3 linked regions of the Rattus norvegicus genome follow. The protein of the gene in region 2 interacts with the protein of the main gene of each other region in a pairwise test. Links are inferred from orthologs where the notes say so. Each region holds a gene or a part of one and is shown on either strand. Other genes may lie near its edges. The genes, in order: Ccdc90b, Tsc22d1 and Aplp1.

What was found.
Region 1: the proteins of Tsc22d1 (region 2) and Ccdc90b interact in a two-hybrid assay, tested with the Homo sapiens proteins (2 studies listed by BioGRID and IntAct). The link is inferred for Rattus norvegicus from reciprocal best matches to the Homo sapiens genes TSC22D1 and CCDC90B.
Region 3: the proteins of Tsc22d1 (region 2) and Aplp1 interact in a two-hybrid assay, tested with the Homo sapiens proteins (2 studies listed by BioGRID and IntAct). The link is inferred for Rattus norvegicus from reciprocal best matches to the Homo sapiens genes TSC22D1 and APLP1.

The regions. Positions count from the first base shown.
Region 1 is NC_086019.1:156,054,321-156,059,584, reverse strand, and holds the end of Ccdc90b (coiled-coil domain-containing protein 90B, mitochondrial precursor), read right to left. Parts: intron 4,142-5,264; coding exon 4,027-4,141; intron 1,243-4,026; coding exon 1,181-1,242; 3' UTR 835-1,180; downstream 1-834.
Region 2 is NC_086033.1:58,157,674-58,163,100, reverse strand, and holds the start of Tsc22d1 (TSC22 domain family protein 1), read right to left. Parts: upstream 3,324-5,427; 5' UTR 2,987-3,323; coding exon 141-2,986; intron 1-140. UniProt on the Homo sapiens protein: Transcriptional repressor. Acts on the C-type natriuretic peptide (CNP) promoter. Acts to promote CASP3-mediated apoptosis.
Region 3 is NC_086019.1:94,824,274-94,828,978, forward strand, and holds the end of Aplp1 (amyloid beta precursor like protein 1 isoform 1 precursor), read right to left. Parts: intron 3,360-4,705; coding exon 3,260-3,359; intron 1,981-3,259; coding exon 1,873-1,980; intron 1,269-1,872; coding exon of another isoform or gene 1,266-1,268; coding exon 1,242-1,265; intron 1,100-1,241; coding exon 1,029-1,099; intron 865-1,028; coding exon 802-864; intron 680-801; coding exon 536-679; intron 454-535; exon of another isoform or gene 452-453; coding exon 353-451; 3' UTR 57-352; downstream 1-56. UniProt on the Homo sapiens protein: May play a role in postsynaptic function. The C-terminal gamma-secretase processed fragment, ALID1, activates transcription activation through APBB1 (Fe65) binding. Couples to JIP signal transduction through C-terminal binding.

The sequences.
Region 1 (5,264 bases), on a different chromosome or scaffold from region 2:
CTGTATTTGCCTCTCTAGCGCTCCTGTAAACATGGGCAGACAGCCTGTGTCTGTAATCCAGTGCTGGGGGCAGAACAGATAGATTCCTGAGGTTTGTCAAGTTAGCTGAAAGGGTAAGCCTCAAGTCTGGGGAGTGAAAAGGGGAAGGGGAAGAAAAGGGGACAGAAACAGGTGGGTTGGAGGAGGGGGGAGAGGAGAGACTCTGTTTCAAAAAGTAAGATACAGAATGAATGAGGAAGACACCCAAAGGTGATGTTTGGCCACCATATGAATACATATGTAACTCATACACATACACAAACAAAGAGGAAAAAAGGAAGAGGGAAATGTGAAGACTAGATAACAACAAAAGGAGGCAAGCAAAACAAATGTGAATAACCTTTTTTTAGTTCTGGTTAGGAGGTTTCAATCCCCAACTATGAGATGGTACTATGTATTATGGTACACACACACAGACATACACACACAACCCAAGAGATGTTTGAATTTAAATGAGTCATTGGGAAAGTCTGTTTCATATAGATGGGTAATGTGACATAATTCAGGAGGTGAGGATAATTTCTGGGGAACAGAGGGTGGTTGGCAGACACCTAATCAGCCAACATACACTAAGTTTTAGGTTCAGTCCTTGGTAGCAAACAAACAAACCACCACAAAATCTACCCCTCAAATTCTACACATATGAAAAATTAAAAAGATACATGTAATCAGAAAAACTATACATTTCATTTTAAGTATAACACATTTAAATGGGATTCACATTATTTTAAACTTATTATTCACTACAAAAAAAACTCCACTTACATAGGAAGTCACTTTGAAAAATCAACCAACTTTGTTATAGTATTTTATTTTATATAAAAATCTAATTGCAATAATAACCAAGAAAATAAAATCCAGCAAGTGTATAGACTACAGAACTGTTTACAAGAATGTAATCTGATAACAAATCCTATTTCACTTACAAAGGTCAAATGCAAAACTTTTTATTGCTATAGTTGTCAGAGGATAAGGACCAAGTGCACTTCTATCTCAAGCCAGGCTTTGAGTTAGAGCTTTTCAACATAAAGATGTACAACATAAAAATAAAATACCAAAACACTCCATTTAGTCTACAAGTTCTTTGAAGAGTTTGTAGTAAGTACATTCTATGGAGTGACCAGCAGCAGCAACAGGAGGGTCAGTTCTCCTTCCAGAACCTATAAAACCCCAGTGCTATCGCCAAGCAAGTGAACACCGAGGCTGTGAAAAGAAACAAACTATGTTACAAGCCATAGCTTAATTATTTCAGACAATAAAAAAAAAAATGAACAGAAACAGAAAATCAAACTTTTATCTCATGTTCTTTTTCCCAAGAAAATTAAACTAAGAATAAAAGGCATTTGTAAAGGCAATAGTTACATCAATAGCTTTCTATATTTTAGAGATCAAAACAAAAATAATTAAAAAAATATAAATGTCATGTCAGAAAATGTAAGCAGTGCTTCAAAGTTACTAACACAAGGTCTTAGGAGTTCTGTTGTTGTGATAAACACCATGAGCAAAACAGCTTGGGGAGGAAAGGGTTCAACAACTCTCAGTCACACCCAATCACTGCAGGAAGACAGGGCAGGAACTTAAGGCAGGAACCAGAGAAGGAACTGAAGCAAAACCAGTGTTGCTGACTGTCTCACTCAGCCTGTTTTCAGCCTATCTAGAGGTAGTGCCACCCACATCAGACTGAGTTCTTCTCTCAGTCATTAAGACAATTCCCCACAGCCTTGTCTACAGACTGACCGTATGAGGTGTTTCCACAGTTGAGGTTTTGACATGTACCCATACTTCCAGACACTTGGGAGACTAAGCCTAGAAGGTTTGGGCAAATTGACAGCCAAACCCTACCATGTCTGCTGTTTGTAAATCTTTAAGAAAGGGAATCTTACTGTCTTATAACAACATCTCAGGTATTCTAGAACAAATAGATCCATATATGCTTTATCTTCCTACTTATTTAAAAATGTGTAACTGTGGCTTCCTAAACTGCTCACTGGCAACAACAGTACTAAAATATACTTAAAGGAGGAAGGAGAAGATGCTTCAATATTACTGGTTCCAAATGCTCAGCAAAACAAAAGGATGACTTAAGAAAGTCTATTTTTATGTGTATGGGTGTTATACCTACATTTATGTCAGTTCACCATGTGTATGTCAGGTACCTGTGGAAGCCAGAAGAGGGGACAGGATCCTGGAGTCACAGATGGTTGTGAGTCTCCATATGGGTGCTGAGAATCAAACCTTGGTCCTTTAGAACAACAACCAGTGCTCTCAGCCATTAAGCCTTCTCTCTAGACCCAGCAAAATCTTTTTTAAAACAATTGCTAACTTGTGTATTTCTTTTGCTATTACCACTAAGTCTATTAGATTTGCCTTGTATATCTATGAACTGCTAAAAGAAAGTTTTCTGGAAAATGCCACCATCTTCAATTTGGAGGGTAAAAAAGTATTTTGTGGTGTTATCCCTACCCCTACCACAGGATCCCTCTGTGTAGCCCTGACTGGGAATTCACTCTGTAGACCAAGCTGGCCTTGAACTCAGAGATCTGCCTGTCTCTGCTTCCTGAGTGCTGGGATTAAAAGTACCCAGCAGTATTTTGTTTGTTTTTAACTGTGGTATTCTTTAGGTAAATACTCAGGAGAATATAGGGAAATACCAGATAGAATCTGAAACTATTTCTTTGTTGCTTTGAGACTGATTGTGGAAGAGAATGAACATTCCAAATGCCTGTTTTAGAATTTCCTTTAGCATTACAGTTGAACTCAAGACCTTTGGTTCTACAGACTTTGTCAATGTAGGGGTTTTCAAAGCCTAACTTTAGATTTTTTTTTTAAATCTGAATTTTAAACATGAACCTAATGTTAGAAATAAAAATAGAGCCCTTAAATTAAAAAATAAGGGGATATACATCAGTTGAGGACTGAGACACATTCATCTTCTAACGTGCCACATCACAAATAGTGGGTGGCCAGAAAACCACTATGATGAGGAATTTTATTTATATAGTCATTTGTTGATACACACATTTAAAATAGGTATATCTTTTGACCCCCAGGTTTTTGTTTTGTTTCTGCCTCCCAAGTGCTGGGATTAAAGGCATGTGCCACCATGCCTGGTGTTACTCCAAATTTTAAATGTGTACAGCAACATGGGTATAGAATGTGTGTATTTAGTGAACATGCACATATATGTTCAGTAGTACTGCTCTTAAGGATGAAGAAATGAAAGCAACACTGCTGGGGAAGTTCGCATGTTGATACCTCAAAATACTATGGTTAGTAATAAAAAGATGTTAAACACTTAATGTTTAAGTACACCTCTAACACTTAGTTACATTTAACACAAGGAGTTAACTAAAACGGAAAAATCTTTTTTATAACTGTATCTTACCTGTATACAGAAGACAACATATAAACTAATACTAAATTAAGAGGGTGAGGGGATTTTCATTGCTCTTGAATTTAAATTAAAACATACTGCTTTAGACAAGTAATATTTAATAAATACATTCTTCCTGTCACATGAGCCATAAAAATCTTAGGTCAGACTGAAGTTGTGGAGCTCAGTGTGAGCCAATCTAAGTACGGGACAGTGTCTATGTGCTCACTTGGTCCAAGGTAAGAAGTTTCCTTACCCTCCACTGCTCTCCTTTTGCTATGTTTTTTAACAGCCCATATCTACTTTTGTGATCTTTCTAATCCTTTCAAACCTTTCCAATAAAATGACATTTTTCATTGTGGAATTTACACAATTAATTTTACCATATTGTTCTTGGGTTTATTTATCTTCTTGATAACCAGACTCCTTTTTCTATCAGTAAAACTGCACAGCTGCTTGCTACTCCAATCTTGAAACTGGTACCTTCTTCAAGGAAAACAGGGTACCAAGCAACGAAGGAGAATTTCTAGCTCCTTTTTATCTCTGTCCTGGCATGGTTATTCTGAGAGTAGGAACCAATAGATCCAAACATTCACTCCGACAGACAGCCTTACCTGCAAGATAACGAATTGTCTCAAGTTTGCTCGACTCCATCAGTGTTTTTAAGGAAGCGATTTCAGTGTCAATTTTATTACTGGTCTCTGAAATAATACTTTTAGTTTGCATATCCTGTAGCAAATCAGAAAAAGCAAAGAATTAAGGTTTTATCCCTATATATTATGGACAAAAACATTTATATTAAAACCTAAAACTGTGTGCTAATGGTGCATTTAAAAAAGTCTTAGTAGTAATGAGTACTGCCAAGTGACAAAACATTCCTCCAATTTCATATTGGGAAATAATTTTCTTGAATCATTCAATATTGGACACAGTCTACTAAAAATCTCTTAGGGTATTCAAAACCTAACTATATATGATAACCTAAGAAGCAAACGTTTTAGTCCCAGAACTAACACTTTTGTATGTAAAGTCTTTGGAATATTATTAACCTTTCAAACATAAAAAAGACAACTTTTAAATATATTCTGCCATAAATACCAACCAAATTGGTACCAAGCTGGGGGGTAACTTTGCATGCACAGGGGACAAAGCTCAGAAATGGGTTGATGTGAATTTGCTCATTTCCTTGTTTATCTACTTTCTCTGGCCAAGGAGTCAAAGAAAATGGGTTCTTCAAAGAGCACAGGTGATTCTTCCTTACTAAATCCTGAGCAAGAGAACTTTTAAGAAAAGGATGAGGCTAAATCAGAAAGCTGGGGTTTACTTACTAATGACTTCTTATAGGGTTATTAAGCATATAAACAGGACTTCTCAGTACTGGGTTTCCAGTCTGGGTTCTTTGAGAAAGGATACATTGCATACTTGCCAGGTTTGGCTTCAAACTCACTGCAGTCCTGAGTGCTGGGATTCCATAGCACGCTTGGATTAGAATCCTTTAAATGTATTTATTCTTACATGTGCATTGGTGTTCTGCCTGCGTGTGTGGATGTGTGCATAGGGGTGACGGATCCCCTGGAACTGGAGTTATAGATAGCTGTGAGCATCATGTGGTTGCTCTTTCTCTGAAAGTTGAATCTTTCTCTGAAAGAGAAGCCAGTGTTCTTAACCACTGAGCCATCTCCAGCCCCTACAATCTATGTTCTTATCCCAGCTCTACCACCTCCTGCTTGTGTGATTTTAACCTTTTTGTATCTTATTTTCCAAACTGCTAAAGTAGAAATAACAATAAGCACAGAGCTGACCTGAAAACGTTAACAGACATGTGTAAATGTATAATGGTATCTGGTACATA
Region 2 (5,427 bases):
AAAACTTACCATGAATATGCACTTCTCACATGCAAATGGAAAGGCATATATATACATATGGACTAAGTGCACCCACACGTACTGCTGCTAAAGAGATCAACTTTGAACTGCCCGATGCCTGCAGAAGCACATGATCTTACCTCTCGTCCTCGCCATCCACCAGGGGTGTTGTCAGCGGTAGCACCTTCAACGGGAAGAGAGAAGCAGAGGCTGCTAGGCTGCTGCTACTCCCATCTGAGACTGCTGACACTCCCCCACTGTCACCACTGAGAGTCTGAGGTAAGCCGCCTGAGGAGGGCTCCGCTGGACGCCTGGTGTCTTCCATTTGGCTTCCAATTGCCTGAGCTAATGATTGTGTAGAGAACTGAGTAGAACTTAGCGGTATCTGTTGTGCCAAAGGCAAATTTATGTTAGTGGCTATCAATGGAGATTGACTAACACTTTGAACCAAACTGCCATTTTGGGTGGCTGGGGGTTGTGCTATATTCTGTGGTGGAACTAAGTTTGTTGGGACAGAAGACATTCCAGAAGGACCAGCTGAACTAACCTGACTTGTAACAGAAATGGTGCTAGCAGAGGGCAAAGGACTACCTGTGGGCAACTGGTGGGAAACAACTCCATGAGCCACTGCTTCCACTCCCTGTGTCTGGGGAGGCACCGCTACCATGGTACTCTGGGGTGCAATAACCAATTGCTGAGGAAGGCTTGGAGCACTGGTTTGAACGCCCTGATGAATGATCCCAGTTGGAGCAGGTAGGACTACTTGTGAAGATGGAGGAGCACCTTGCTGAACAACTGAAGGTGTAACTTGGGTAGAGGGTGGCTGTACTGCAGTGGGTATGTTTGCCTGCTGACCGATACTTGCAATCTGACCACCAGCTGGTACAGTAGACACTGCTGTTGGAGCCTGGCCAATGGGCTGCCCAGTCGCCCCTGCAGGTTGTGCTTGTACTGCTGTGGGCTGCACTGGCAGCTGGATCCCTTGTGGCTGAGCCACGGGAATCACTGACGCTCCTGTGCCTGTGGAACTGGACTGTCCAGAGGACATTGCCGCTTGGAATATTGGCTGCTGCTGTGCGTACTCTGAAGGAGGGTTTTGAGTTGCTGGCTGGCCATGGCCTGGGGCTATCTGCGTAGGAACCATTGGTTGCTGTTGCCCATATTGTAACTGCTGGGGTGGTGCCCCTGGAAGAGGAGTTTGCACGGGAGGAGCTGGCTGAGGATACGGCAGCTGGGGCTGAGCCAGACTGGAAATGGAAGGCTGTTGACCTACAGCTGACGTTACACCCACCACGTTGACAGGTGAAGGCTGGATACCAGTTGCTGCGCTCATAGTGGCTTGCAGAGGAACAGGTTGAAGATTTGGCTTCTGCTGAAAGCTCAATTCTTGAGGCTGTAGTTGTACCTGTGACATCTGTGACTGAGAAATACTCTGTGGACCAGGGCTACTGAAATCTAGCTGTTGGAGGGCCACGCCTTGAAGACCTGGTGGTGCTGGTGGTAGCGGCTGCTGCTGCTGCACCACCACAGTAGGGGCTCCCATCTCTCCGCTTCCCACACTCTCTGTGTAGTGACTCAGTGTGCTGACACTACTGCTCACGGAACTCCCACTAGTGCTCTCCCTCTCCGAAGAGGACGCTTCCGTGGGGGTTTGCTTCACGGTCTCCACCACTTTATTTATGGCCACGCCTTCTGGACCTGGCACAGCATTTTCTCTCTCATAGAATTCAGTGCAAGTCCATCTGCCTTTTTTAAAGGGTTCAGAAGTAGAGTCTAACTTCACAACTCTGAACCTTGATGTGTTAACTGTTGGCGGCGGCTGCTGCGGCTGCTGCTGCTGACTTGAAACCACTCCCACCGTGATACCTGCAGCTGCGTTAAGGACAGGAGAAGAAATGGTACCGTTGCCCATGCCACTCAAGACATTCACATTAACACCGCTGGTAACTCCAGGCCCACCACTTATACTAACAGCATTGGGATGCACGCTGTTCGCCACACCGGGACTGAAACCACCCACAGCAGCAATGTTAACATTATTCGTTGCATTCGTGCCGGTAACTGAATTTACACCTATGCTGCCTGGAGTGCTTGGAGCACGGATGCTCGTCATCACTGAGGCAGGTAAGCCAGCCGATGATACAGCAGAAGTAGGTGGGACTGGCACACCACCGTCAGAACTTCCAGCTGTAGAGAGTTTCCTGGACACGGGGCTCGTGGGTGGTGGCCCTCCAGGAACGGATGTACTGGCCACAGCAGCATGTGATGAATGGTGGTGTCCGTGGTGAAGGTGGTGCCCATGATGAATGTGATGGTGGTGATGGAGGTGGTGTGGATGAGCGTTCCCATTGATCACAACGTTCTGTTGTGGAAGGTGAGGCAAATGAGGCTGAGGAAGGTGGGGCTGGTTAGGAGAGACTGCCCCAGGTGTCTCAGCTTCCTGGAAGTTATTCAGAGTCTCCTCGGAGGAACTGCGTTCAGGCTCACCTAAGTCAGTGGCCCTGGAAAGGGAGACATCAAGGATCTCGGAAGAAGAGAGATCTTCCGTGTGCGACTCATCCAGGTCATCATAGCTCTCGGTGTCCTCTGCTATGCTGTTGTTCGAGCTGATGCTGGCAGAGATCTGAGCCGGAGTAACGCTAGTTATCTGGAAGCCACTTTTCTTTTTCATCTGAGTTCCGCCTGGCGCAAGAGGCTGTCCCTGCAGCTGAGCCTGTGAAAGGAGGTTCAGGCTTTGTGGAGGCGGAGGCTGTGGTCCCTGTGTGGAAGATGCAGCAGGAGGCGGCGGCTGGAGCAGCGAAGAAGGAGGAGGAAAATCTTCAGAAGATGGAGCAGCACCACTGACGCCGGTACCTGCTGCACTGAGAGCAGAGGCGCTGCCACCACCGCTGCCCCTTCGAGGGAACATTGCCGGGTGCGCCATCTTCCTAGCACTAATGTCTGCAGCAGCGGCCGCCGCGGCGGTGGACTCTGGCGGCTGGTGCATTGTGCTGGGTACCGGGGGGCGGAGGAGGCGAGTGCAATTTCCTTCTGCACCGTAATCTTTGTATGGAGAAGCCGGAGAGGCGAACAGGACCTGAAGCTCCGCCCGACGCGATCCCTCCTCCTCCTCCTCTGCCGAAGGCGCCGGCTGCTCGTGCCTTCGAGGGCTAGCTTCGGGAAGGGAGGATGAACCGGGTGAACCAGGTGGCTGGGGAACCGAAGGGGGACCCCTTCAGTCCTTCGCCATTCACTTTCCCCTCCAGTCACACACCCCCCTTTATATTCCGCTTCACGTGGGGTGCGGGGCGGGAGGGAGGGGAGCCCAGGAGGGGGCGGGGGAGGCGAGGAGAAGCGAGAAATGCCCACCTTCTTTGGCCAACTCCGGAGCCAGCTCAACCCCCTCCTCCCGCGGCGGCGGCCGCTGCAAAGCCCCTCCGCTCGCCCTGCACCGAGGCAGCGCGGAGCGAGCGGTCGCCCGGCCCTCGCCACCCCCGGCGCCGCGGCCGCCGGCGAGCCCTGAGCTCAGCGTCGCTCCAACCTCCCTTGCCGGCGCGGCCGGCCCCGCTCGGGCCTCCCCCCGCGGCCCGCGGCCCCTCTCAAACCCCCTGGGCTCGCGACGGCTGCTCCGGGAGGAAAGGCTGACCGCGACTGGGGCCCGGGCGGCGCGGCTGCGAGCGGGGCGGCGGCGGGGCGCCGGGTACGGTGAGCCCAGCAACGAGGCGAGGGCGGGCGCGCAGAGACGCCGGGTCCTCGCGGAGCGCGGCCGGGGCGCGGCGGCGGCGGTGGCGGCGGCAGCGGGAGCCCAGGGACCGCTCCATCACTGGCAGCCATGGAGCCCGAGCATTTTCCTCTCTCGGGGCAGGCGCTCGGCTCGGCACACGTCCTCTGAGAGGAAGGGCGCCGGCGCCCAGGCTGCTCCGGCGGGTGGCGGGACGTGCGCGGGAGCGGAGGGGCGAGCTCGCGTCCTCTTCTCAGCCCGCCGGCTGGCTCGGCACCGAGCTGCTCCCGCGACCGGGAGGGAGGGGGCCGCGGGCGGCGGTGGCTCCTTTTCGCGGCGGCGGCGACGGCCAGACGGGGCTGGTGCAGCGGCTGCAGCCGACGCCGTTCAAAGAAATGAGAGGTGGGGTTGGTCGGTGGCGGCGCGGGGCGGAGGAGTGGGAGGGCGTCGGGCGAGGAGGGGGCTGTGGTGGTTGTTACTAGTGCTCTTCTCGGGCTGCTCCGTATCCCCTGGTCTCTCGCGGCATCAAGAGAGGAGGGACCAGCGCCCCAGCGCGAGAGGAGGAGGGTCGAGCTCTGACCGAAGAGAAGGAGGAGGAGGAGGAGGGGGAGGAGGAGGAGGAGGAGGAGAAGGCGGGGGGGAGGGGTCGCGGAGGAGAAGAGGGAAGATGGCGTCTGCGCGTGCGCGCCGGCGCTGCAGACATAAAGCTGGGTCTGACTAGGGGAGGTGGCCTGTCTTCGGTCCGTGCCGAGCTCTCGGCTCCGTCTCCACGGAAATTGCCGAAGGCCGGCGGAGCCGCCGACGCCTGAGGGCGGTGGGGGTGGGGCACTCGGGCGCGCGAGCGAATCCGGGTCGCGTGGAGAAGCTAGGGTGGGGCGTGGGGGCCACGCCGCGCGCGTGCGCGCAGGTTAGGCGTGTCCGCTGCTGTCTCCCACGCGGACCCCGGCGAGGCGGGTGAGGAGCGATAGGTCTCGGGTGTGCGCGCCCTGGGGCGGTGTCCCCCCGGCCTGCTGAATGGGTAATAAGGCTTTTCTCCTCAGCAACAGCATCACGAGTTGCAGCTCCCAGGAGCCCTCCGCTGCTGCCACGACATGAGTCAGGCTTTCTTCCTCGGCGCGTGGCGGAGCCTTCCTCCTCCTCCTCCTCCTTCCCCTCCTCCTTCTCCAAGCAGTACCTGGGTTCCCCCTCGACCCGCACCGCCCTCGCCCCTTCCGGGGATGCCCCGATGGAGTCGGGTGCCTTCCCCCACAGCAGTGGTACCTTTTGTGCAGAGCGGTGGTGGCTGCCACGCGGTCCTTCGCCCTTCGACGGGCAGGGGCGAGGCTGCTAGCAGATGGCACGGATGTTTGCAGTGAATCTCCCAAGCCCACCCCAGGGGAAGGCTCTTACAAAAGGGAGTGGTCCTTGCTGTCCCTCCTTAGCTGGTGGGAAGAAGCGAGCCTGCCCGGCCAGCTAACTAACCAACAGGTGGAGCTTCCCTCCAGCCATTCATTGTCTTTGTGTCCTTGCTGTGGCCCTCATAGAGGTAAAAGGTTAGGGCTTGGTCTTAGTGGAATTTAAAGGAAATTTGTGAAGAATGCCTTTTAGGGCTAGAAAAGCAAAAGGACCAGCTAAAAATCGCCCCCCCCCAACTACATTTCATGGATGTAGATGGGTTTGCTTGGAGGCAATTTTCTGTTAGCTGCCTCCGAAGTATTACATGTCAAAACCTCTCAAACGAGTGCTTT
Region 3 (4,705 bases), on a different chromosome or scaffold from region 2:
AAAACCTTCAAGAAGTGCTTGTGCTTACACACAGTTTCTCCAACAGAAACACGGGATGGCCGGGTGGGGAAGAGGACTTTATTGGGATGTTAGTGAAGAAACGTGGGACGGTGAATTCCAGGGGGTGACATACACTGGGACCCAGATGGTGGTCACCTTAAGGAGCAATAAATTAACGTAAAATAAATTAAGGTGAGAAGGTCCCTGGTGGGGCAGGAACTGGGAATTTCTAAGGGGGTGGAATTTGGAATGAATTTGTCAAGATCTCCCTCCCCCACCGGAAGCTGGGAGTTGGGATTAGGGGACCGGAAGAAGGGCAGTAGGGTTCAGCTGAAGGCAGCTAGGGTTGGGGTCAAGGTCGTTCTTCCAGGAAGCGGTAGGTGGGGTTCTCATAGCCATGCCTCTGAAGTTCCCGGAGCTGCTGCTCCTCCAGGGTCAGCATGGGGTCCACCTGCAACAGGGCCGAGGGAAGGGCTCAGCGCGTGGGAGCAGAGCTGCTTTTAACTCCGCCCCCACCGCGATGTCTGCCCCTCACCTCCACCACTCCATGGCTGATAGTGCCATAGGGTTTCTTCTTGCGCAGAAGCAGCAAGGATAGGACAATGAGGGAGCCTCCTCCAGCTCCCATGATCAGCAGACCTGACAAGGCCTCTCGGGACACTCCAGTCCCAGCTGGTGCCTGTGGAGAAAGGAGGCGGAACCAAGAGTTTCTTTGAGGCTCACCAGGATCCACTGTGGCTTTGGAGGTCACGGCCTAGACGCTGACCTCTGACCTCGCCCCCAGGATCTGCCTCTTCTTACCAGTTCATCCCGCTGAATATCTGATGAGTGGAAGGGAAACCCCCTTGGGGCAGATGCATTCACCTGGGAAGCAGGAGATGTCAGGAGATGTCACAGACCCCGGGGCCTAGAAGGGTACCTCCCAGTCCAACAACACTAAGTCCATGTCCCAGCAAGCTCCTTCCCGAAGCTGAGGAATCCAAGCCTCCAGAACCTTCCCTCCACCCAGGGTCCAGACACCCACTCACCTTTTGCTCATATTGCTCCAGTGGGGTTAGCTTCTCTCTCCCAGAGGAGGAAGACTCTTGATCTGTGGACCCTACCCCACCCCAAGTCACATCAGAAAGGGCGCTGGATTCCACTCAGGCGGCATGGGCTTCCTGCGGCATGCAGCCCTTTCCCCTCATGGTTTAGGGTTCAGTGGTATTTGGTGGTCGGGGTCTATGCCGTGTGACACTTACCTTTTGGAAGGGTCACTGGGGCATCTGCTAGCACAGGAGACAAGATGAAAGGTGAAACAGTGAAGAGAAAGAAAGAGTAGAGAACCCCACCAGGGCCAACGACCCCACAGAGGCCCAATACCCCCCAGATATCCTTCCTTATTCCTTCCCACCTGCTGTGGTGGCACAGATACCCCCAGACCTTAGAGAATTGGAAAGAAGGCTGTATGCTGGCTATGGTACTACACAGTCTATGAACTCAGCACTTAGAAAGCTTACACAAGAAGATCACGAGTCTGAGGCCACCCGAGGCTAAATAGTGAGTTCTAGTCTAGCCTGAGCTATAGAGTGGGACCCTGTCCTAACAATCTAAGGACTGAGTTAGGCCTAGTGACACATGCCTGTGATCTGAGCTACTCCAGATATTGAGTTCAAGGTCTGCCTGGGCTACTTAGACTGTCTAAAAAAAATAAAAGGGGAGGGGGTAGCTAAGGCTAGCGCTGAGTGCTGAGTGGAAGAACTCTCTTCTCTTTGCCAGCATGCACAAAGTCCTGGGCTCCCCAGCAGCTTCTTCCTTTAAGGCAAGGAATCTGGCATTGCAAGGGGAAGAGGCTTGACGCTCAAAGGTGGGAGGGACTCTGTATTCGCTCACCATCCTTGGATTCAGGAGGCTGAAGGCTACCTTTGTCCTCACTGCTGCTCCCGGGCACAGAGGCTTCCAGTTCACTAGGTCCCAAGTGTTCCGCATGGAGAAGCTCCTCTGAGGGGACACACAGAAAGATGACTATGGCAGTGAGTGTATGACGGTCACAGCAGGGCAAGGGCAGGGCACCCTCACAGCGGAACGGACAGGAGATTAGAGAGACGGCAGAAGCATGCAAGGTGCTCTAGCAGGAAGGATGGAGGCTGGATCTGCTGTATCCTCTCTTCAAGTAGGTTTGGACCGAGGCATGGACTGTCTGGAAGGAAATCACAGTAGCCTGGGACTGTGCAGGCTGATACTTCCTGGTCTTGTCTCTCTTGTGTAGGCTCCCTCTGTTGAATCCAGATTTAACTTGGGACTTGTTCTAACCAATAGAACCTAGACTCAATAACCCAGGGTTGTAGCTCAGTGGTGTACACGCCAAGCATATAAAAGGTCCTGGGTTTAGTCCCCAGGACTACCCAATTTTCTTCTCTTTTGAGACAGGGTTTCCTCTGTGTGTTCTGAAACTGGCTCTGGAGAGCAGGCTAGCCTCAAACTCAGAGATCGGCCTGCCTCCACCTTCCAAGTGCTGGGATTGAAGTGTGTGTACCACCACACTTGACACTACACAATTTTTTTGAAGAGGGTAGGGCCAATGTATGGCTGTATCCTGACACTGGGGAAACAGAGGCAGGAGGACTGTGAATTTAAGGGCTGGTCTGAGCTACATGGTTCCAGGCCAGCCTCAGTTACAGAACAAAACCTGGTCTTAAAAAGCCAAAGGCTGGGGGTTGGGGATTTAGCTCAGTGGTAGAGCGCTTGCCTAGCAAGCTTCAAGGCCCCGGGTTCGGACCCCAGCTCCGGAAAAAAAAAAAAGCCAAAGGCTGGGGATGTGGGATGGTGAGGCACTTGCCTATCAGGGCTCACAGTCCTGATTCCATCCCTGATGCCATAAAAAAAATCATCTAGCCAGGTGATGGGGCACAAGCACTTGGAAGGCGGAGGCAGAAGGATTGCTCAAAGTGCAAGGTTAGCCTGGTCTAACATAGTGAGTTTCAGACCAGTCAGTGTTACAAAGTAAGACCCTGTCTCAAAACAAACAACAAGAACAAAAACAAGCCATGATTAAAATCAATCTGTACAACTAATAGATTACTAGCCATACCACCAAAAGAAACAAATCCAGATCAGAGGACACTGATTCAAATTAATTGGATAAAAACAAAAAACCTGGCCCTTACTCTGAACTACCGAGTTGTACGGTGATTTAAATGAAGACTGGGAAATTGAGGGTTGGGAGTCAAAGTCCACCCTCGGAGAACTGAAGTTCAGGACACAGGTAACGGGCACTCACGGATCTGTGGCCGCAGCTCCTGAGCCAGGTGAGGGTTCTGGTCGAGCAGCCCCAGGCTCTGATTCATTCGTTCTTGAACCACCTGAAGGTGGGTCTGGACCTGTGGGGAGTGAGTACGAGGGATGAAGCAGGCAGTGCGGGCTGGAGAAGAATGAGATGAAAAGGAGTTCAACAGGCACCATGGAAATAGACCATGGAGCATGGACAGGGAGTAAGGCACAAGGGTCAGACACCCAACCACAGAGGAAGGAAACTGAGGCAGGAGAAGCAGGATCCAGAGAGAAGGAAGAGATGTGTATAAGACCAGAAGTTTAAGGCTTGGACAGAGGAAAACAGTACCGGAGGCAAGAAGACAGGAGGATACAAAGAATATGGTTTAGAACTGGGCGTGGTGGTGCATGCCTTTAATAGTAGCGTTTGGGAAGTAAAGGCAGATAGATCTCTGTGAGTTCAAGGACAGTCTGGTCTACGTAGCAAGCTCCAGGCCAAGGAAACAGGGCTATTATATAGTGAGACCCTCTCTCCAAAAGCAAAAACAGGAGAGAGAGAGAGAGAGAGAGAGAGAGAGAGAGAGAGAGAGAGAGAACACACCAATGGAGGAGAAGACTCATGGGTCAGAGGGAGAAAGCAAGAGGGCTGGAGGAACACATGTGGGGTTGTGGGGAGATGGGAATCGGTCTAGAGGATTCATAAAGGAGTCGTAATGGCTTATGGGCAAGGCTTGCTATTCAGAAGTACAGGGGAGAGCATCTGTGGATCAAAAGAGAATGTCCAAGAAACCAGAAGTAGAATCTGAGTGCATACAGCAGGGGCTCCAGGGAAAGCAAGCGGGGCTAGGGAGGAAGGTTGAAGGACAAGCTCCAGGCTCAAGGGAAAGGATTCTGGGAAGAGAAGTAAAATCCAAGGGAGAGGAAACAGGAATCTGAGAGACAGGAAGTAGGATTCCAAGGGACTGGAAGGGGGGTCAAAAGCATGGTATTGGGGCTGGGGATTTAGCTCAGTGGTAGAGCGCTTGCCTAGGAAGCGCAAGGCCCTGGGTTCGGTCCCCAGCTCCGAAAAAAAGAACCAAAAAAAAAAAAAAAAAAAAAAAAAGCATGGTATGAGAGGTGTGGACTCATGCCCACGTTTGAATGTGTGTGTGTGGGCAAGCTTTGGGGGCAGTGTTCCCACATCAAGAAACTGGGGGCTAAGGATGGAGGGACTGGAAAGGGTTTGGGGACACAAGGGGGAAGTTCCAGGCATAGTGAAGGGTTCTAAACTGAAAATGAGGGTCGGGGTTGGGGATTTAGCTCAGCGGTAGAGCGCTTGCCTAGCAAGCGCAAGGCCCTGGGTTCGGTCCCCAGCTCTGAAAAAAAAAAATTAAATTAAAGAAAATGAGGGTCAAGAGAAGAATCTGGGGCCTGGAGGGATGGCTCAGCAGTTAAGAGCACTTGCTGTTCTTCCAGA